4 linked regions of the Arabidopsis thaliana genome follow. The protein of the gene in region 3 interacts with the protein of the main gene of each other region in a biochemical or structural test. Each region holds a gene or a part of one and is shown on either strand. Other genes may lie near its edges.

Region 1 (7,117 bases), 940 kb from region 3:
CGTTTCTGTCTTAATAGCTTCAGGTTGGTTATATACTCTGCTCTGATTCTGTTTTGGAATCTTGTAATGAGTGACACTCCAAGTTACTTCCTATATGTATTGAAGAATGAAATGAATTTGGTATTGGATCAGGTTGGATTGGGTTTTTCTATGCGGTGTGGTTGGGAACAAGAGGAAGCCTACGCTTGGCTAAGCAATCGGTTTCAGTGGTGGGATCAGCCATTTCAGGTAACACTATCAGTCGTCATCAACACCAAGACCGGGAGGTAAACATCGAATCAACCAACTGAGAATCCGTCCTTACCGCGTTTGTAAATAAACCCCGACTTTTGGTTGTTAATGGAAGCTTGATATAAATATGATCTATGGAGTTTGTTGTGAAGAAGCAGAGAAAGAATGATAAGAATATTTCAAAATGCAACTTGAAACATTTTGTGATCAATGTCTACGGATTTTTGGATCTATGTATGCATACATTGTGTGTTTTATGTACTTAAGAAAGAATAATGATCAGTATCCATATGAAATCTCAACTCAGATCTCTCCCTCTCTCTACATTTCGGCTGCAAAAAAAAAAAAAAAAACTTGAAACCCTCTAGCCAACCAAGAGGCTTTCAAAAAAATATCCAAACTTTCACCACATTTTGATGATCTTCCAATTATATAACTTATGATCACACCACCAGATCAACCTCAAAAAACTAAAAACCCGAAAACCCAAAAACAAAAACTCATACATTGATCATCCACTTTATAATCAAATCATCAATGGAACTTGAGAAGAGGAACCTCCAAATTTCTTCATTTTGGTAGTGATATTCTCTCTCTCTGTGCAAAAATCAACACTCTTGAGCAGCTTGGCTCTCTACGTGTTCTCCTTCTTTTACGCTGAGAATTTCATCGTCACAAAGATATATACTGCATACATGTTTCTGAGTATATATAGAGAGAGAAAGATGAAACAAAAAAATAAAAAATCCAATATATATAAAAATCCAAATTGATCAAGAAAGTCATTTCTCGTGCCAATCTGGTCTGCCTAATGTAAACTCCAAACTTGGATTTTCACAACTAAGATTTCCACACCTCTTTGCTTGATCATTCGACCTTTGCTCCTGCCAATTTTAACTTTATATTAGATTAAAGGACAAAAAAAACACTAAGAAAGGCAATATCTATCTATACAAATATGATTAGATGGGAATTATCAGAACCTGATTTTGAATGCTGGATCTTTGATAATGAGAGATCATTGATGTTGATGAAGTTCTGATCATTGTATCTATGTCGCTTGAGCAGTTATTACTTAATGGCCATGTCTCTCTATTTTATGATTTAAGAAAAGAAAGAAAACAAATTAAGGACAAATTGTATTTATTGATGTATAGATGCCCTAAAAATAAAATAAAAATCACTACACACAAATTGCGTTTTTTTGCAACTTGCTATATGACCACAATCTACATGTCATACTTATGAAGCAAAATTCGTTTATCCTAGTCTTCCTAGATGAATCTTAAGAACCCAAACCAAATTATAATTAAAAAAAAAAACTTGGTACATATAATTAAAGTTCATCAGCCATAAACCCTAACCAATTTCATCTCATTGTAACCAAAACCATCACTCAAATTTTTTCCCCTTAAACTGAACGAAAACAAACTTAAAATATCATCTAAAAACTATTTTTGTTAGAAGAAAATGGATAGATGTGGGATAAACCAAACAATTGTCGTATGAATTACTTGGTAGGAAGTAGGAACAATTAGGTGAGAGAACCCTAAACCCTATCTCAAATTTCGTCAATCTTATTCTTACCTAATGTTTATATATACTTATCGTGTGTATAATACATGTACGTATATACGTAAACGTACCGTGAAGAGTTACTCCAACGAGGTTGTGTGGAAGAAATGTCAGTTTCTTGATGAAGAGAAGTATCATCAGATTGTGCCCTTTGATCCGTCGATGATTGATGATGAACTTCGTTTCCATTTATGCCCATTTCTTCTTCTCCTGACCCATCTGAAATTTTATTTTAACTTTTTATCAAGTTTCGTTGTCTCAAATCAATCACTTATACCCTATAAGGAATCTCATTTAAAACTGAACGATTCTTGTAAGCTTTTTTGTAAAAGACAATGCAGTGAAGAAATTGTTTTTCTTAAAAAATAATTTCAGCATTTCGTGTTGACCAACCTAATATGTGTCTCAAAAAATAGTTTTACAGACTCGAAAATTGTGCCAAATAAACTTTTAATTGGTTAAAGAAAATCCATATGAAACAAGTGGTTTTTCTTTATTCTTAATTCATGAACTTTGCTTGGATATGAGTTTACACTTCACACGTTTTAAATTTAATCTTTTACTCGATTTTTTTTTCTTAGAGAACATCAATATTGGGGATATATGTTTGTTTGGTTTGCTTTGAACTTTGACCACTCAACTTTAGGGTTCAATCAAAGGAAGGATAAAAGCCTTGAGCTTGACCAATATCTTAGGGCTCGTTTTTTATTATTTTGGGGAAAGGGAATAGTAGAAATAGTAGAATCAAATAGTAAAAATAACAGAAATAATTTCACGTCATTATATCTCTACATACATACAAATATCGAATCACAGCTTCAAATTCTGATTGAGAACTAATTTCTTATAAATATTGTAGTCAAAAAAAGCTATAATAGTGATTATATTGGACCTCCATTTCTATAAAATTCTGGTGGAGAATCCTAAGCTTTATTGTATATCTGTCTTATGTTATTTTTTGGTGAATTGTATATCTTTCTTATTAAAAGCCAGTACCATTTCTTTAGCATATATAAAGCTGAAAAAAGCTATACTAAAGAAATGTGAATATGCATAACATTATATGTGTGTGTGTGTGTAAAGGAATCACACGTACCTGATGAAGCAGCAGGCTTGTTAGTGGTCTTAACAGTTCGATACATCTGCAAAAAAAAAAAAATTAAAGGCATGATGAGAGCTCTAAAACTAGAATAAACCATAAATCCAATTAAAGACACAGGAAAAAACCAAAATAAATATCGGACAAAAGATACTGATAAACTAAATAGATTTATTTTTGTATAATGTGATACAGAATTACAGATGACAAACTGGAGAGATATATGCAGACACATATGAACTTTATATTATTAAATAAATAATATATGTAGTACATATGTGTGGTTTTCTGGGTTTGTCTTGGAACTGATGATGTATATATAATTAATTATTTATGATTTTAAGACCACGAGGTTGATGTCTGAAAGAAGGTTGAGTAATAGAAAGATTGTATTATTATCATTGAGTAATGATGACTACTTTTGTCCCCTCTTCCTAATTTAAAAAAGAAAAAATGAATTATAATCCAAAATAACTTCTATCTATCATCTCAATTCTCCATTGTTTAATAATTCTCTGAAAGGTTTCAGTCACTTAAAGCTATAACTACTCTCTCTTTTTCTCTCTTTAAATTCATTCAACTGCTTCAATTTTCTTGGCAATTGTGCCATCTCTTCCAAAATATGACTAAACTTAAAGCAAAGACAAAACAAGAAAATAAAAGTAACACATCAGAATTGGAGCTCTATTCATTGCTCTGATGATATATACGTACACAAAAACCTTGTTTCTTGATTCAGCTGTTTTTGTGCAAAACGCAAAGGAGAAGAGAGTGACATGATGGTGATGAAAACTATGAAATATCCCTAATTATAGAAAATCTTGATTGGTAACGAACTAACTCGACTAGATTAAACCTAAATTAACAAATAAAAATTGATTCTTTGTTGTGTCTAATTTAATTTCAAATAGAGTATAGATTATACCTGCAAATGGCTCTTCACATGTGCTAAAGTTAAGTCTTTTACATCCATGAGCTCAAGAACCGACTTTGGAGTTGCTCCTAGAATCACAACAACAACAAGAATAAAAGATTTAAGACTTTGAGAATAAAGTGAAGAAAAATGGGAATGATCATTAGAATGTGATTATGATATAAATGTGTACTTTCATGGCCGCCTAGAAGCTCAACAGCGTGAACAAACCGCGCGTGGAGGCTACTAGTCCAACGCATCCTTGGAGCTCTCATGCTTCGCTTTGTCGGCATCTTAGGCAAGAATCTTGATCTGATCATCCCATGATGATGATGGTTATGGTGATGAGGAGAAGACGAATCTGAAGATCCAACGACTCCATACTGATTATGATGATGATGATGATGCAAAGGAACACCTTTAAGCCTCGGGGAAGATTGTAATGATCGGTAAGCGTTGTTGTAGCCGGAAGATGAGTTTAAGATTGAGATTTGATCCATGTCTCCTCCTCCAAGAGAAGGTAATGAAGAGTTTTGTTGGTGGAAAGGGAATGAACGGTTGTGATAGACCGGGATGCCTCTAATTGGACGGTGGAGATTACTAATCTCGGATTCATCGACCCTTTGATGAACACCATTGATGATAGGGTTGTTGTAATGCTGCTGATGAGGAAGATTAAGGGTTCTTCGATCAGGACAATGGAAGATTCTTGCTGTTGGATGGTTATGATGAGATAAAGAGAGTTCAAAGTTGGACGATCGGTTGTTGTTTTCGAGTTGGGAGGATCTTCTTGAAGATTCTTTAGAAGATTCATTGTGATGGTATTGATGAATATCTGGGAGACTGATGTGGAGAGATAGATCAGGGAGAGTAGTTGTTGTGTTTGTTTTGGTTTTCTCTAGAAAAACACCTTCCATAGACATAATTAAAGAAACCTTTCTCTTGCTATTGCTGCCACTGAAGTTGTTGATGATGATAAGGATGATGATGGTGATGATGATGATGACTATTCTTTTGTTTTTTTTTTCTCCTGAGGGTTTTGCTTAGGAATTTAAAATGATTTTCTCTAAGGAGAAGAGAAAGCAGAGAGATTCTTTAGGCAAAGAAGTCAAAAGGGTGTCTGAAAGATTTGATATTTTTTTTGTTCTCTTTCTCTCTCTATATCTCAGAAAGAAAGGAGAAAGTGAGAGAGATGAAGTTAAAGAGAAGCTTAGAAGAAGAGAGAGAAGTTGAGTGATGATCTTCTTGAAGAAACAAACATGCTCAAAGTAAGACGCAGAGAGAGAGAAAAAGAAGGAAGAGAGAGATAGAGAGAGGTATGTGTGTTGTGAAGCAAAGGCAGAAGAGAAAAAAGGAATAAAACTAAATCCAGGAAAATTAAAAACAGGTAAGAGAGAGAGATATATGTGTGTTCGTTCATGTACATGTATGTGTATGTGTATGTGTGAGATGTTGTTCCTCGAGAGTATATCTTGGAAAACGATAGTTGAGAAAGGGTAATATTGTCATTCGCTATATTCCAAATATTGGAAGCTTTTTATTTTATTTTGGGATGGTATTTCAATTTGTCTTTTTCACCTTTCAACAAGTAAACCCATCTATCAATATAATATAAATTATTTTACGGCTAGATTAATTGATTTCATGTTTTAGTTTATTCGTTTAAACTACTGAAATTTTGATTTCCATAGATAAAGTTGAAGAATAATAGCAAAATAAATCTTGTTTTCTATCAATTTAGTAGATGAAATTTTCAAATGTAAAGTGTATTTAATAATCGACCAATTTCATAGATGAAAAGCATACAACTTTTAACAATAAAAATTAATACGATTATCATCCATTAAAACCTTAACAATTTGAGTAATAAATCAAAAACTCAATTGATCTTTAAAATAATAATGTTCACAGATTATCATGAAGAATAATAATTAAAAATGTTGGAGAAGAGTACAAGAGGAGAGAGAATAAAGGGTCGCTCTCTTCTGTCCTATCTAATCTATAGTCAAAGCAAAAGCCAAAATTAAATTAAATAAATAAATAACAAGAAGAAAAAAACAAACACAAGACCTATTCTAAAATAAATAAAAAGTTTCATTATAACCAAAAAAAAATAAAATAAAAAAAGAGAGAGTGCTTTGATTTTGGTACCCCGGAGACGACGGGATACATATGTTGAGACTTGAGAGAGAGAAAGAGACTGTGTCCTCTCTGACTCCTTTTTTATTTTCTCCCCCACTCTCTTCGCTTCTCACTTCACTCTCTATTCACATCTTATTATAATAATTCCTTATACGATTTTGGAATCAAACAAATTCAAGTTTCTGACCGTAGATTGTTCAACTATACCTAAAGAGATAAATATACATTAAATATCAGTACGTTCTTGAGTTTATGAATAGCTCGTATAGACATTTAGTTCCTAGAGATGTGACTACAATATCAACCGGCTACTTGTTTGACCGTTTTGTGTTGTCTATCAATTAGAGCCAAATCGAAGTCATATACATGTCGCTTTAAAATACGTACTTGAAAAGAAATAAAATTAGGCAGATTTATATATATTTTTGACTTGTTTGTGTCGAATGTAATAATGTATGCATTCTAGTGTTTCTGTTTTCTTTGTACTCGACATTTTTACATTCACATTGTTCGTTTATAATTCTACAAAAAAAATTATGGAGTTGACTTTATCTACTGTGAAACAGAAATATGTCATACTGAAAAATAATGAAAAATATACAAAATTGAATAGTATTTAACTATTCGTATGTTTTTGTCAAAGAATTATTATATTTTTTTATCCCACTTTTAATTTGGAATATATAAACTCTGTGTTTTGCCTTCCAAAGGTACGGAAATTATTGTCTTAGAAAGTATCTTTCTCTTCAAATACATACATATATGCATACGTGTGTACAATACAAGGTGCCCTCGTACGTATATAAACCAAGTGTCATATAAAGAATTCGATCAATTATTGTAACGTAACATGCATGCTTTTAGATTATACGTGAAGTTAAATATATATTAGACCTAAGAAAATACTCAGCCAGAAAGTGGATTTTGTTTGTTTCCCTTAATAAACAAAAACAAGTGAACCCTAAAGAACCTAAATATTTGCTTCTAATTCCCTTTTCATTCTCCCAAATATTCCTTCTCAATTTAATAACTCTTTTCTAATTTTCTTTAAATTGTCTTCTAAGAAAAAAAATAAACTATTCACTCCTCACATGACCATATCAATACAACATCTCGACAAATCATTAATGCCTTGAAATAAAAATATGATAAATTGT
Region 2 (3,990 bases), on a different chromosome or scaffold from region 3:
AGGATTTTAATATTCAAAATCTCAACTTTGATCAAAAAAAAAAAAAAAAAAAAGATACAATGGTCTCAGGAAAGAAAAGTTGCAGAAATTGGTTGGCTAAAACCACAGCTGGTTTCACTAGACAGGTATGTAAAGCTGATTGTATATAAAACCCCACAAGTCTCAGCTAATGGGGCTTTAAGAAACATCACATGTCTAACGGTAGACTGAAACAGGGATCATCTGAAACTCCTTTCACATTTTTTACTTATTTTATCAGAAAGAAGTAAAGCAACCAAATCTCTTTCTTTTTTTCTGTAGTCCCTCAAACCAACTTGCATCACTTGATTAGACAATACCAACTTTGAGTATCTAGATTCTAGAAGAATTAAAAAATGAACAAGAAACTTCGCATGTCTAATGGTGGCATGAATATAGTACCATTTTTCTCCCCAAATTCCTTTTTCGCTTTCCCTAGGTGCTGTGATCTTTCTAACGATTCAAACTTAGCCAAATGGACAACAACCTTGAGCATTCTCTCTATTCATCTCTCAAAGCGTAGGTACAAAACTTAATATCAGGAAACCATATCAAAACAAAAAAGACCTTGACCCTCATAAGATAAAGGGAAATCAGTTTGAAAATGGTGAATCATGTGGCGATTGGCGAAAACATTATTTATATCCTTCAATATCTATCTCTCATTTAACACAATCCTGATCGAGCTCTTAACATTATTAGAAGGTCCAGAGAACAATATCCAAAGCAAATGGACCAAAAGAAGTAAAAGAATCAGGACCTGACTTCTTCCAATGTTACACCCTCAAACCTCAGCAGGAGTCTTTGCCACAATAGAGAGAGCATGTAACCCGCTCTTCAACTCATCTTGCAACAAGTCATATATCAGCCTATGTCTCTTGACCAAGCTTTTACCTTGGAAAGCATCCGAAACGATTCGCAAGTTGAAATGTGTTTCCCCATCATCACCAGCACTACCTCTAACAGCGGCATGTCCTGCGTGCTGGTAAGAAACATCTTCAACTTCTAACTCAACAGGATCTAGCTCCTTCTCCAATTTCTCTCTTATCCTCATCCCTCTACTCCCTAAAGCAACAACATTTGACCCACTCTCAGAATCATCAATCTTTTCTGTTCCCAAATCCTCAACTAGATCAGGTTTAGACTCCAAATCCACCTCCGGAACATTAGCTTCGTCCTTAGTCTCAGGAATAGACACAAAGCTGGATTCTGAACTCTCTCCAGAACTTGAATCTTCCTCACCTTTGACTTCCAAATGAAGAGCCTTTTTCTGCATCAGCTTAAGCATATTAAGTAATCCATTGTTTCTAGAAGGAGACAGACTCTGCTGCAACCCGAGAAGAACAGCGAAATCAGGTGTTATCCTCAAAATCTCAGGGACAGGTCTTCCAGATAAACCCTTGACTAATAGAGCAGCTAACCCTTTAGTGAGAACCGAATCAGAATCAGCTTCATACACAACATTACGTTCCTCATCAAAGAAAGCCCTAACCCAAACCTGAGAAACACATCCTTCTACTTTATTCTCCCTCGTCTTGAATTGAGAATCGAGAGGTGTCAGATTCTTCCCGTAGAACATAAGCTGCTCGTATTTAGCCTTTGGCTCTTGTACCGATTGGAAAAGCTTGACGATCTCTTGTAGCTTCGGTGGAAGCTCTTCGATTGGTTGAAGGTCTCCATAGCTCGACGGAGATGATGAAGCCGATGGTGGAGGAACAATCCCGGTTGAAATTTTCTGGAAAGTGATGATCGTCCGGCGAAAGGAAGGAACTTCCGACGGTTTTAGTGGTCGTAGAAGAAGGGTTTTGGCCGGATAATGGATTGAAGAAAACAAGGTCCGTTTGAATGGGATTAAACGAAGCGAGGAAGCGCAACAAGAAGAAGACATCGCTGCTGCCATAGTCGCGAACTTGAAACTTCGAGAGAGACTGAGATGATGATGAAAGCTCTCCTTCTTCACTTTTTCTGAGTCAAAAACCAATACCGCCAATTAGGTAGTAACCGGGAATTAAACCGGGAATGTACCAAAATCCAAAAATTAGATGTAAAATCAATTGTGGGGTTGATTATGAATAATTAGAAAGTATACGACTCTTTTCATAAATAAGGAAAAGAAAAAGATATCTAGATTTTTTTTGTTTTGTTTTGAAGCATCGTCTTCCTGGTTCTTCGTTCTCTTGCGTTCGTCACCTCAAACACGTCCGCCATTATTATATATCAAATCAATCATGTCCGAATCCAGCTTTTACCAATGTAAGCAATTAAATTAAATTAAATAAAAACACTTTTATCAAATTTAATCAAATTAAAAAACTGTCCCTTTCTTATCTGAGATTCTATTGTTTCTGTCTACTTCCACAGAAAGAAACTGCATCTCCGTTTTTTTTTCTGATTTGAGGCTTTCCTTAGATCCTTGAGAGCAAAACTGAATCTGGGTAATTTTAAAAATCTCATTTTTACGACTTATCTCTTTTGAACGATCTGTTTTTTCATGTAAGTACGATTTCACCTCGAGATGATCGATCATTGCTCTTCTGGTTCTTCCATGTTTGATTAAATGTTATAACTTGAGGGTTTTGTTTCTTTTGGATTGTTCTCGCATTTGTTGATCTATGGTTATCAAAAGAGTTTGGATTTACAGTTTTTGGTTGCAGCTGAAATTTTTCACTCTTTTCTTCTCTGTTTTGCTGGATAAAGTTGGATTTGATTCACATTGTTGTTTAGAATCTAGATGAAGTTGTAAGATTCCTTGTATTGTGTTTGCTTATGCATGATTGTGATAAAGATTTAAGTTATTTTACCAATGTACAATGTCCAGAATTGTCGTCGGGATGGGTTCTAAGTCCGTTGTTGACATGATCGAAGCTGCCTCGCGGGCACATTTTTCTGGTTTACACGTGAATGGGCACATGAATGGGTTGGAACCAAGTGCACTTAAGGAAACCACTTCTGCATCAGAAGATATCCAAAGACAGCCTTTTGTAATAGGTGAGTTCTGCTTTTGCTTTCATTTTTGATTAATATATGGTCGTGGATAAAAAAAGCTTGACGAATGGTCTTGATTGATATGTTGTGACTTGAATTGGTTAGGTGTTGCTGGAGGCGCAGCATCGGGAAAGACTACTGTTTGTGATATGATAATCCAGCAACTGCACGATCAGCGTGTTGTACTTATTAACCTGGTAATTTTGTTTTGCTAATAAAGTTTCATAGAGCTAAGTGATAACCACCGGTTTGATTTGTGTTTCGAATGTATATGAAGTCAATTGAATTCCACACAATTTAGAGATCTAAAAGGAGAATATTACCAGCTAATAACTTATATATGGCTGAAGTTTAACATTGTTCAACCTTGTCACCATTGTTTAGATATTTATGTCAGTCTATTTATCTAATTCTCAAATTCCTTTGGCATCATGATAAACCACAAATTGCTCGACTTAATATCCTATGATAATGATTTTTGGCAGGACTCGTTCTATCATAATCTGACTGAAGAAGAACTTGCTAGAGTTCATGAATACAACTTTGATCATCCAGGTGAGAATATATTTGGAGTGTAATTGCTTTCTGTAATCTACTCTTGTCAATACATAGTGTCATCAGGAGTAAAAAATCTTTCCTAGCTTCTTTGGCCATTTTTTTTTTTTTTATAATACTTCTTTGGGATAATTAAGGCATAACTAACAGCCATATTATTCAGTGATATCTTACTAATTGATGTATTCTCTTTTATTAAAGCAATTTCATCCCTGACAGCACATTACTAGTTGCTGGGAGTTATGAGAAAAAGTCTTGTGCATTACTCTTTGTCATCCACCGTTAATTTCTTTTTATCCAGGATTCTAATGAATTGTTGTTGTTTCTGTAGACGCATTTGACACAGAGCATTTATTGTCTTGTATGGAGAAATTGAGGCAAGGGCAAGCTGTAGATATTCCAAAATATGATTTTAAAACTTACAGGAGCAGT
Region 3 (5,711 bases):
CGGTTGCAACTACTTTGGCCCTAGCAGAGCAGCATCATTGTTTGCAGCTAAAAGCAGTGTGTCTCAAATTCGTGGCACTGCCAGAGAACCTGAAAGGTAAACACACAAGATCTTTCTTTTTAATCGATCTGAATCAACTCTGTTCACATGATGAGACTTGTGTCTGTTTTTTCCCTTTTGTTATGATCAGCTGTGATGCAAACAGATGGGTTTGATTATCTGAAAGAGAGTTGCCCATCTTTACTAACGGAGCTATTGCAGTATGTGGCGAGGCTAAGTGAACACTCTGTTATAGTATCTGGACATCGAAAAGAAATATTTGCCGATGGTTGTGACGCGAGTGGAAGACGAGTGAAGCCCCGGTTGCACTGAATGGGAGAGAAAGAAGAAAGATTTGTGCATTGTATAATCTCTGTTATGGATAATGGCTGATCTAATCGGATCTAGCAAGTACAATGAATCGTTTTCAACGCGTTTTCTCATAAATCAAAGATCCAATGAAATTTGGGGTTTATTGTTGGTGCATATCAGATTATTAGGTGAAACAGATTGAGTTCATGGGATATAAGAATCGTAGACAGTGTAAGTGTTACAACGTAGATAAACAAAGGTTGTTTTAAGAATACAAAACTATGAAGACAAATTACATGACAGGATCTGTAAGAACTTCTTTTATCTTCTCACGCTTCCTTCTCTCATTTCGCTCTTAAGCATGTCTTCACGTTTCGGCTCTTGATAACACAATGGATGACTCAAAGGGATACTCTTTTTAGCTCTCCCTGAGACGTGAGGTGGTAAAGCTAAAACTAGAACCATAACATCATGTTTAATACCAGCGACTCATTGCAGTATCTTGTGCTGCAGACACTTTTTGTGGTATATACTGAGTGTTTGGCTTCAATCTACTTGGACCTTCAGCAGCGGTGGCGCAATCTTCATCTCCTCTGTTGCTTTTGCAAGGTTGAGTCCTCTTTGGGTATTGAGACGCAGCAGCTGGATTTCTGACCATCCTTCTCTGTTGTTGTTCAAGAGCTTCAACGCCTGTGGCTGCGCCGCAGTTGTTATAGCGTAACACTGATCCAACTACTTTACCAGGCCTAGCTACTGCAGCACCTGCTTCATTACAACCAGATAAATGTTCAGGAGACAGAGTTATTCTGCATCATAACATTATATACAGAGAGGGTGAGAGACCTTGGATTGTTTGAGGGACGTTGATAGGAATTCTCGACATTGGCATCTGGGCATTCCTGTCTGCACCCCGAGGTCTCTCGTCTCTAATGCTACACTTGGAGAGTCCATCAGTGACTTCAGCTGAACTCTGTTGTGCCACCGGATGATTGTTATCAGAGTACAATACGCAAGCCCTGCAAAACATAAAAAGAGGCTTTGTTGAGCTGTTTCGAAAGAATCCCAAATGATCAAATTTTTAAAGGACGTAAAGCATACCTTGGTAATGATGCATGCTGTTGCCTCTCAGGGGGATTATGAGAAGTACCATTCTTGTAGTGTTCCTCGAGGTAAGCAAATTGTTTCTTGAAATGTTCCACCGCACTGCAGAATGAATAATACATTAACCATAAGAACATGGATAATACACAGGAGTATAGTATGAAGCAGGTCAGCTCAGGCCGGTACCTCGGGTACATAAAGTTAGTTGGCTCTGATCCATCCAAGTATTCTTTCAGCATCTTTGGGTGGTACTCCAGAGACTCTCTGTATATGAGCTCTCGGACGTCTTCTTTTGTGATCCTCCGCCTTTCAAACTCAAATTCCAACTTTGTGACAGGTTGAGCAGAAGGCTCTCTTTCAACCTTAGCTAAACCCTTGAAGTACACATCTGCAAGCGCCTGAGGTAACACATAAAACCATTTAGTTAGCTATAACCAAAGTTACATCATAAGGAGTGTAAAGAACGAAATGTATGAACCACCTCTTCAGCTGTAGGCCGGTCCTTGGGTTCAAAAGACAACATCTTTTCTAGAAGACGAAGAGCAAGAGGATCAGTATGTGGGAACTTATGTGAAAAAGGAATAGGCTTCTTCTTCCTCATGCTGCTCAAGTATCTTCGAGCTTTCTCGTTCCTAACCTGTTTCAGTGTAAGAAATTCAGCCAAAAAAAGAAACAATGCTTAAGCATTGTGGAAAGGAACACATACCCTTCCAATGGCTTCAGCAGATGGAGTTCCCAGCATATCCGTCATCAGATCCAATTGATGGACCACATTTTTCCCGGGGAAAAGAGGTTTCCCTGTTAAGAGTTCTGCAAAAATGCACCCGATGCTCCATATATCTATTGCCGGTGTATACTGAACAGAAGCATAGATAAAGAAAAAAAATGTTACCATAAAATTTTATAATCTGAATGAGAGAGCTATAGTGTCTACTGACTAGATTCCCTATGAAAATTTGAAACATTCGATGAAAGTATATATACAAAATCATGGTCACCTTTGAGAAAAAAGATCCACATAGTTCTGGAGCCCTGTACCATCGAGTAGCTACATAATCCTGCGATCAGAAAGCAGTAGGAATAAAAAATTGGTTTCATACCAAAAAGAGTAAACTTGTAAAGAGTAAGCATTTAAATTACTACTACTCACAGTCCAGAATATCGCAGTCGGTGTATCATTGAATGCGACTCTTGCAAGTCCAAAATCACAGATCTTGAGTTTGCAATCAGCATTTGCCAATATGTTTTTGGGTTTAAGATCCCGATGAAAGACATTAGCTGAAAGGAAGAGAAAAAAAAAGTATTTTCAGAAAGATAATCATAAACTTATACTAATCAATGAAATTTTATTGCTCGCTAGCTTAACCTGTGTGTATATACTTGAGGCCACGAAGAAGCTGATAGAGGAAAAACTGATAATGCTCAGGAGTCAAATCATCATTTGCCTTAATAACCTGATGCAAATCAGATTCCATAAGCTCGAAAACCACGTAAATGTCTCGAAACTCTCTTCTTGAAGGCGGCAACAAGATGTGTTTGATCTCAACAATGTCAGGATGGCGTAAGAGTCTAAGAAGTTTGATCTCACGAAGAATGCGAGTTGCATCCGAAACATGCTCAAAGATATCATTGATTTTCTTAATCGCAACTTTCTCTCCGGTATGTGTATCGTAAGCAGAACAGACAACTCCATAACTTCCTTTACCAATCACTTCCTCTATTCTGTATCTGCTTCCTTCACCATATTCCGTGAAGAAATCTACCTCAACTGATGACTGAATATACAGAAAAATCTATTGTCAATATCAAAAGCTTCAATACAGAGAAAGATTAGGACTAAACTAAAAGGCAGTAACAGTAAAAAGGATTGCTACAGATCCTAATCAGTTCTAATAAGCAAATCTGATACATAAGAGATTGAAAAATTGGACCTTTTTGCGGTGATCAGGCTGCATCTTCAGCTACAGGGCATTCAAAGGACGCTTACGAAGACCAAATGTAATAGCTTCTGAAACCCAAACTTAGTGAGCTTTTGAATCAAAAAAATGCAAAGACTGAGAATTTTAGTTCCAAAGGCAATGTCAAAAACAGAGAGCTCTATATCCAAATCCCGAAATCCAGAATCGATTGAAACAAATCAGAGTAGTTCCCGAGACCAAAAAAAAGGAGGCAAATTTATGGGGTGAAACAAGGAATAACCTAATCGAGATTTCTTTGCTTTTTGAAGTGAAATCAAAGAGATCAAAAGAAGGAAGCGATGGGTAATTTGAGAATCACTGAGATTGAAGAAAGACGAGGTTTTTATCTTCTTCGATCAATCTCTCTGCTTGAAATGGCTAAAAGGAAAAAGGAGAGAGTTTTTGAAAGTCGAGAGAAGCTTTTATGGTTCAGAAACCCAAAAATGATTCTTTTGAGCTAATAAAATTTCTTTACAGGATCTGAAATCTCACGAAGCAGACGAAGAGGCAAGTTTATTTGCTCACTTTTGTAGAAGAAAGTGTAGAGAGGAGAGATCTATGAGATGAAGAACAGAACAGAACAAATTATTAAAATATTATTATTATTCGTTTCTTTTATTGTGATAATTGAAAAAAGCGGATAAGTGGAGTCTGATTATCGTTGTACGAAAACTCCAATTTGCCCCCCAAGGTTTATGGGTACTTGCGACTTTTGTCTTAAATCTAGCTTTTGGATAATGTCCAAACGTCGAATATAATACAGTGTGGATATTTTTGTATAAACTATTTTAATATATGCTCTTCTTAATGAATAGATATCCGATTTATTATGGATTAGTGATGACTTATAATTATTACAATAATAAATAGTTCGTTTACTTTATAATTTTCTTTCGTGTCATAGTCGTTGTTAAAGACATATAAATGAAGTGGATTATCCTATATTTCGAATCCGATTGAAATGAGTGGTTTAAATTTTTTTTCGTATGCAGTTAATGAGTAATCTTACTTATTTTTAAGATATAGAATTTGACCGATAAGACATACTTAATTATCTAGAGACAATATTTATGAGTTATGTACAATGGTACAAGAAACTTACAAAAACTTATATATGCAATCGTCAATCTAGTATTTTATTTGAAATATGTATTTCGTATCTAATATCTTCTGTCTTTGGTGGGTTCTTTGAAATTGCTTCATAACTGTAGGTGCTTGCATGCGTAAACTTTTGCATGGTTGGAAAAATTGCATTTGCATCGATTTCAAACGTATAAATAAAGCGAAGCTTTAAATCTTCAAGTAGATGTCACTACAAGAAAACACGCCAGTTGCGAGGGAAGAAACCGTCGCTAGTCTCTCGCAAAAAGCATTTAGCGAGGGAATTGCGACGAACTCCAGTTCCTCGCAAAACGCGCGTCGTAAAATCAAATTCGTAGCAAGTTCCTCGCAAATGTTGCGAGGAACAAGTTGCCTCGCAAAACACACGCAATTTGCAAGGGAAGCAATCCGTAGCAAATTCACAGCAAATTTCGGGTCTCGCAAGTTTCTCGCTAGTTGCGACGGACGACCAGACTCGCGAAGCACACGCAATTTGCGAGGGACGTACTCGGTAGCATATTAGCTGCAACAGTAGCCTCGCTCTTTCCTCGCAAGTTGCGAGGGAATACTTCAGTAGCAAAGTAGTCGCAAATTCTTTGTCCCGCTAATGCCTCGCAAAATTTGCGATGGATTTGCGTGGCTTTTATCTGTAGTCGCAAATCCGTAGTAAAGTTTGCGATGGATTCGCGGTAAATAAGCGACTCTTTTCTGTTTTGTTTTAAGCATGATTACTGTTGAATATAGGGATTACTGTTCTACTTAACAATATTTAATGGTTATCTTAATTGGATTTTTATACTAAACTTTGAAGTTGAATACTAATTAAGAAACCTTAAACTCATATTTAAAAGCTGAAATTTTAGGTTTCAAGTACAGAAAAAGAAACTGAATACAGAATGTTAGAAGGCCAAATAATTTTACATAACAAACCAACAAAAGATTCAAGTTTTGATGAGTGAAAAAGAAACTTAATACAGAATGTTAGAAAGCCTCAGATGGAGATGACCCAGTGTTTGGGTTAGCTACAACAGCCTCAGGTTCGACAGCTTCAGGTCCGATCCCAGCAGTTGTGGCATTAGGCGCATCAGGTGGATTGGAGCTGACTGGTTCAGTTCTTGAAGAGGATCTGACTCGAAACAAGGCAGCAAACTCTGGATCCTTCTTGGCAAGGTAATCAAAGTATGCGTCAAAACTGGTGAT
Region 4 (3,736 bases), on a different chromosome or scaffold from region 3:
AACTGGTTAAGTTAAAGAGGTGTTCGACTTAGCATCGCTATTTTGTAGAATTTAGTTACATATATCTAATCATTCCGCTACTTAACAATCGCATGCATCGACTCGAGTATCATATATTCATATCTATAAGTCGGATTTGTTGCCTTGTTTAGTATTGCTATTTGTCAAATCTATCAGTCGGATTTGCCACTGCCGTTTCAACTGCATGTTCTACGTGTTCTGTATGTCTGTCTAATCGATCTCTAAACACTTCAAATTGTTCGCATATTCTCTAACCACACTGCTTAAAGTTTGGTTCTCAAGATCCGAAGAGTAGAATGTGTCTACAACTACGTGACTATAACGAACATCTTTCATCATTCTTCCCAAATGAAAAAGTAATTACCTGCAACTTTTGCTTTATCAATTATATGCAAAAGGCACTTCTTTTGATACGACCTTCAATCTCTATGTCCTCCAAAGTAGGCCGCATACACTCACACAAAAGTAAAAGACCAAAAAAAGTGAAGAAGAGTGGAGGTTTATTAAGGGCACCTGTTTTTGGTGAATATATTCTCAAATATTACATAATACATAATCAAATGGTAGGATTAAGAAGGCCTATAGAAGAAAGGGTTCTTAGGCCAATCTCAAAGCCCTTCAAATGCTGTTTATATACATTGTTTTGTCTCTTAAATTCTTATAAATTCCTCATTACCTCTTTTCACATCACGCAACATTTCACCACTAGTCCCTTTGGGTCTGTCCTGCCTTCCTCATTACCTGATGATACATTCAGTTTTGGTTAGAAAAACTATGATATGTGGCTCTTTGCTCAGAGCATAGCCAGTGCGGCTAAACCGGGTTAGGAAAGTGTAATCCCATATACCTAAACTAAAGAAAATTACCTTCCAAGGGTTGAGCTAACTTGCGGTTCTGCGATGACATCATTTCTTTTTTAAGCTGAATCAGTAGATCCTCCATTGTGAATTCTCTTCTCCAGTTGGAAAGCATAGGGAAGTGACTCGGATCAACCTGATCGTTCAGTTTAACCAAGATGAATATTTTGCAAAACAAGATCCTCTTATTACTAATATTGTTAGTTCAAAAGCTTACCACTCCATTCTCAGGATTGACACAAGCCATGTTTATACGACTCTGAAACCTCACAGTAGGTGGACTTTCCGGATAATCCTTTCCACAGAATAGCTTCAGCTGAAAGATTTTCCCTTCATACGCAGTCTGATAACAAAAACATCAATCTTTCTTCTCAAATACCAAAAGTGGAAACAAATACTTCAATTCATTTCCCTTTTTGTCTCTTCTCATTCACCAAAATTGGTTTTAAAATGCTACATAAGGTTACTAAACTCAGCTAAGGATCATTTGAAGTTAAATTAAACCCTCGAATTATAGTGACAAACAAGTAGCAAAAAATTGCATCTTTTAAGTTAAACATTTGGAAAGGTTCTTGCTTTAGCATTAAAAAATGCATCTTTATTCAAATCTACCATAGATATTATCATTTAAGTTAAACAAAAGATGAAGAGATAGATTGAGAAGAAGAAAACTAACATTATGAGGACCAAGAATGGTACCAGTCCAAGATTGCATCAAAATATCATCAGCATCATCCATTCCATAACTCACTGTCCCATCTCCAATTCCTTTCTCACCTCTTTCTAGCTCTTCCAATAATCTAAAGTTTCTGGGAACTGCAAACCACACAAAATCAATCAAAGATACAAATGATCAACAACGATATAGAGTGACTTCGCAATCTGTGTAATCAAAATCGTTACTTTAAACCTAAGGAAGCAATAAAGTAAAACCCTAGATTCCAAATCAAAGAGACTAATCGAATCAAAAAAAAAAATTGGATTAGACTTACCAACGACCTTCTCTTCTTCCGAACCCATTTGGCTGAGATGATTGTAGTGAAATTACAGAGTAGTATCTGAAGGATGGATTCGGCTAGAGAAGATGAAGAAGAACAGAGAAGAGAGAAAGAGAGAGAGTCTAACAGCTACTGTTCATCAGACAGGATATGAATTGTGAAAAATGGAAGGAAGAAAAAAGAGAGAGAGTTGGTCAAGTGCTTCTAGTCGTACAGTGGTTGTATTTTGTAACCCCACTTTTTCTCCACCACTTCCAACAAATGTATAATTTTAATTTATTTTTTTATGACTTCGTAAAGTTTAATTAAATAATACGAAAATTATTATTTTGAGAATTATTTGTACTGTCGATATCTCATTATTGAAAAAAAAAAAAAGCACTATGACAAAATATGAACCAACCATAACAAAGACAACAATAGATGGTGTAGTAGTGGTGCTTCTTGCTTTGTTTTGGTGGTTGTTGTTTACGCTCTGTTTTGACTTTTTTGCTTTGTATGTATGTAGTTGGAGTTTTCAACAAACTCTCTGTTTCGAGTTTCTTTTCAGACGAAAAAACAAATGTCCAAATCAAACCAACCAATGAACCAATAATAAAACACTAGAAGAAACAAACAGATGGATGTGGTTACAAATTTATAAATTCAATTTAAGTCGATCTATCTTGTTTTGAAACAAACCAATCATCCATCTCTCCATCATCACTAATGTTACCAAGAAGTTCATTTCTTCTCCGATCATAACATTTTGACTCTGTTTCGTTCTTCGTATTATCATCTTTTTTCGCTTTAGTCCCATTGCTTCTAATTCTCTGTGTCATCTCCAACTTCCATTGCTCTCTCTTTTCTGCGCTCTTTGAAACATTGCTTCTCCCTCCCTCTACTGGAAATCCCATGAAACCATCTTCTTCTTCCTCTTCTTCGCCATTGCATCGTTTTACACTCTCTTCTTCTACAAAGCTCCACGTCTTTGTAACTCCGCTTTGACGATCAGCAACTGTCTTTGAATCCGGAGTGACGTTTGCAGCCTTTTGTCTCTTGTGATCACACTTCAAACATATAGAGTTTCTTCTAAAATTGATGTAATTGCACCTGATGATGTATAGAAACATTATCAATTTCCAACAACGATCGCCAGATTTTAAGACTTTAAACAGCATTTAGTTTTAAGGTTTAAGGAGGTGACTCACGACTCGCATTCCCACTCTCCGGGATTGATTTGACGCAATGTAGGCTTGTCTTTGCACCTTAAGCATCTCGTGTTTTTCGAAAAGTTCAGGAAATTACATCTGTGCAAGTAAAACAAAAATCTTAAACATGTTTTCATGGTTTTAATCAGATTAAACACTAACCGATGAAACAGTTTGTCCTCACGTTTGACAAATCCAATCTCCTTTCTTCAGTGGGAGATGATCTTTTTGTTCTTCCTTCAACTGTTTAAGCCTTTCCTCAGAAAAAACATCACATCGCAAGCATCTTATGTTTTTCGCAAAATTTAGAAACTTGCATCTGCCCAGTTCATAATACAAAAAAGAGCCCAAAGATTAACATCCCTGAAATCGAATCATAAACATTACCAAGCAATGCAGTAAGATTACTTACTCTGTACAATACCAATCCCCTGGCCTTTTTCGTGGATCTCTTTCATCAATGTCCTGTGAATTTGGCTGGAGCTCATCTCCAGCTGTCTCAGTCTCAGCAGATTCAAAATCTGTTAAGCTATACGCTACACTTTCTCTGAGCAACTTCCTCACAGAATCTTCAACAAGTTTGGTTTGACAGGCACGATTCTCAACAGTAGGAGAAATGGAATCAAGCCCATAAGTTAGCAGTAAACGCATGACATCTATAGTTCGAGCA

What was found.
Region 1: of the proteins of MPK16 (region 3) and KAN, one has a biochemical effect on the other in vitro, tested with the Arabidopsis thaliana proteins (one large-scale study listed by BioGRID).
Region 2: of the proteins of MPK16 (region 3) and CPSUFE, one has a biochemical effect on the other in vitro, tested with the Arabidopsis thaliana proteins (one large-scale study listed by BioGRID).
Region 4: of the proteins of MPK16 (region 3) and MMZ2, one has a biochemical effect on the other in vitro, tested with the Arabidopsis thaliana proteins (one large-scale study listed by BioGRID).

The regions. Positions count from the first base shown.
Region 1 is NC_003076.8:5,406,352-5,413,468, forward strand, and holds KAN (Homeodomain-like superfamily protein), read right to left. Parts: upstream 5,416-7,117; 5' UTR 4,742-5,415; coding exon 4,012-4,741; intron 3,908-4,011; coding exon 3,831-3,907; intron 2,949-3,830; coding exon 2,903-2,948; intron 2,026-2,902; coding exon 1,878-2,025; intron 1,324-1,877; coding exon 1,215-1,323; intron 1,116-1,214; coding exon 1,014-1,115; 3' UTR 512-1,013; downstream 1-511. Other genes in the region: AT5G16550 (voltage-dependent L-type calcium channel subunit), read left to right, coding at 1-23, 133-290. UniProt on the Arabidopsis thaliana protein: Transcriptional repressor that regulates lateral organ polarity. Promotes lateral organ abaxial identity by repressing the adaxial regulator ASYMMETRIC LEAVES2 (AS2) in abaxial cells. Required for abaxial identity in both leaves and carpels.
Region 2 is NC_003075.7:13,381,654-13,385,643, forward strand, and holds CPSUFE (chloroplast sulfur E), read right to left. Parts: upstream 1,989-3,990; 5' UTR 1,919-1,988; coding exon 803-1,918; 3' UTR 545-802; downstream 1-544. Other genes in the region: UKL4 (uridine kinase-like 4), read left to right, coding at 2,850-3,006, 3,109-3,200, 3,489-3,558, 3,890-3,990. UniProt on the Arabidopsis thaliana protein: Participates in cysteine desulfurization mediated by NFS2 in chloroplast and NIFS1 in mitochondrion. Activates the cysteine desulfurase activity of NFS2.
Region 3 is NC_003076.8:6,344,270-6,349,980, forward strand, and holds MPK16 (mitogen-activated protein kinase 16), read right to left. Parts: upstream 3,999-5,711; 5' UTR 3,408-3,998; coding exon 3,384-3,407; intron 3,228-3,383; coding exon 2,819-3,227; intron 2,731-2,818; coding exon 2,603-2,730; intron 2,511-2,602; coding exon 2,451-2,510; intron 2,309-2,450; coding exon 2,159-2,308; intron 2,090-2,158; coding exon 1,934-2,089; intron 1,851-1,933; coding exon 1,639-1,850; intron 1,555-1,638; coding exon 1,450-1,554; intron 1,368-1,449; coding exon 1,195-1,367; intron 1,114-1,194; coding exon 827-1,113; 3' UTR 501-826; downstream 1-500. Other genes in the region: BPM1 (BTB-POZ and MATH domain 1), read left to right, coding at 1-96, 191-372.
Region 4 is NC_003070.9:26,638,917-26,642,652, reverse strand, and holds MMZ2 (MMS ZWEI homologue 2), read right to left. Parts: upstream 2,059-3,736; 5' UTR 1,899-2,058; coding exon 1,871-1,898; intron 1,695-1,870; coding exon 1,555-1,694; intron 1,222-1,554; coding exon 1,096-1,221; intron 1,015-1,095; coding exon 888-1,014; intron 763-887; coding exon 704-762; 3' UTR 698-703; coding exon of another isoform or gene 672-697; 3' UTR 504-671; downstream 1-503. Other genes in the region: AT1G70650 (Ran BP2/NZF zinc finger-like superfamily protein), read right to left, coding at 704-762, 888-1,014, 1,096-1,221, 1,555-1,694, 2,592-2,968, 3,067-3,165, 3,251-3,385, 3,479-3,736. UniProt on the Arabidopsis thaliana protein: Has no ubiquitin ligase activity on its own. The heterodimer with UBC catalyzes the synthesis of non-canonical poly-ubiquitin chains that are linked through 'Lys-63'. This type of poly-ubiquitination does not lead to protein degradation by the proteasome.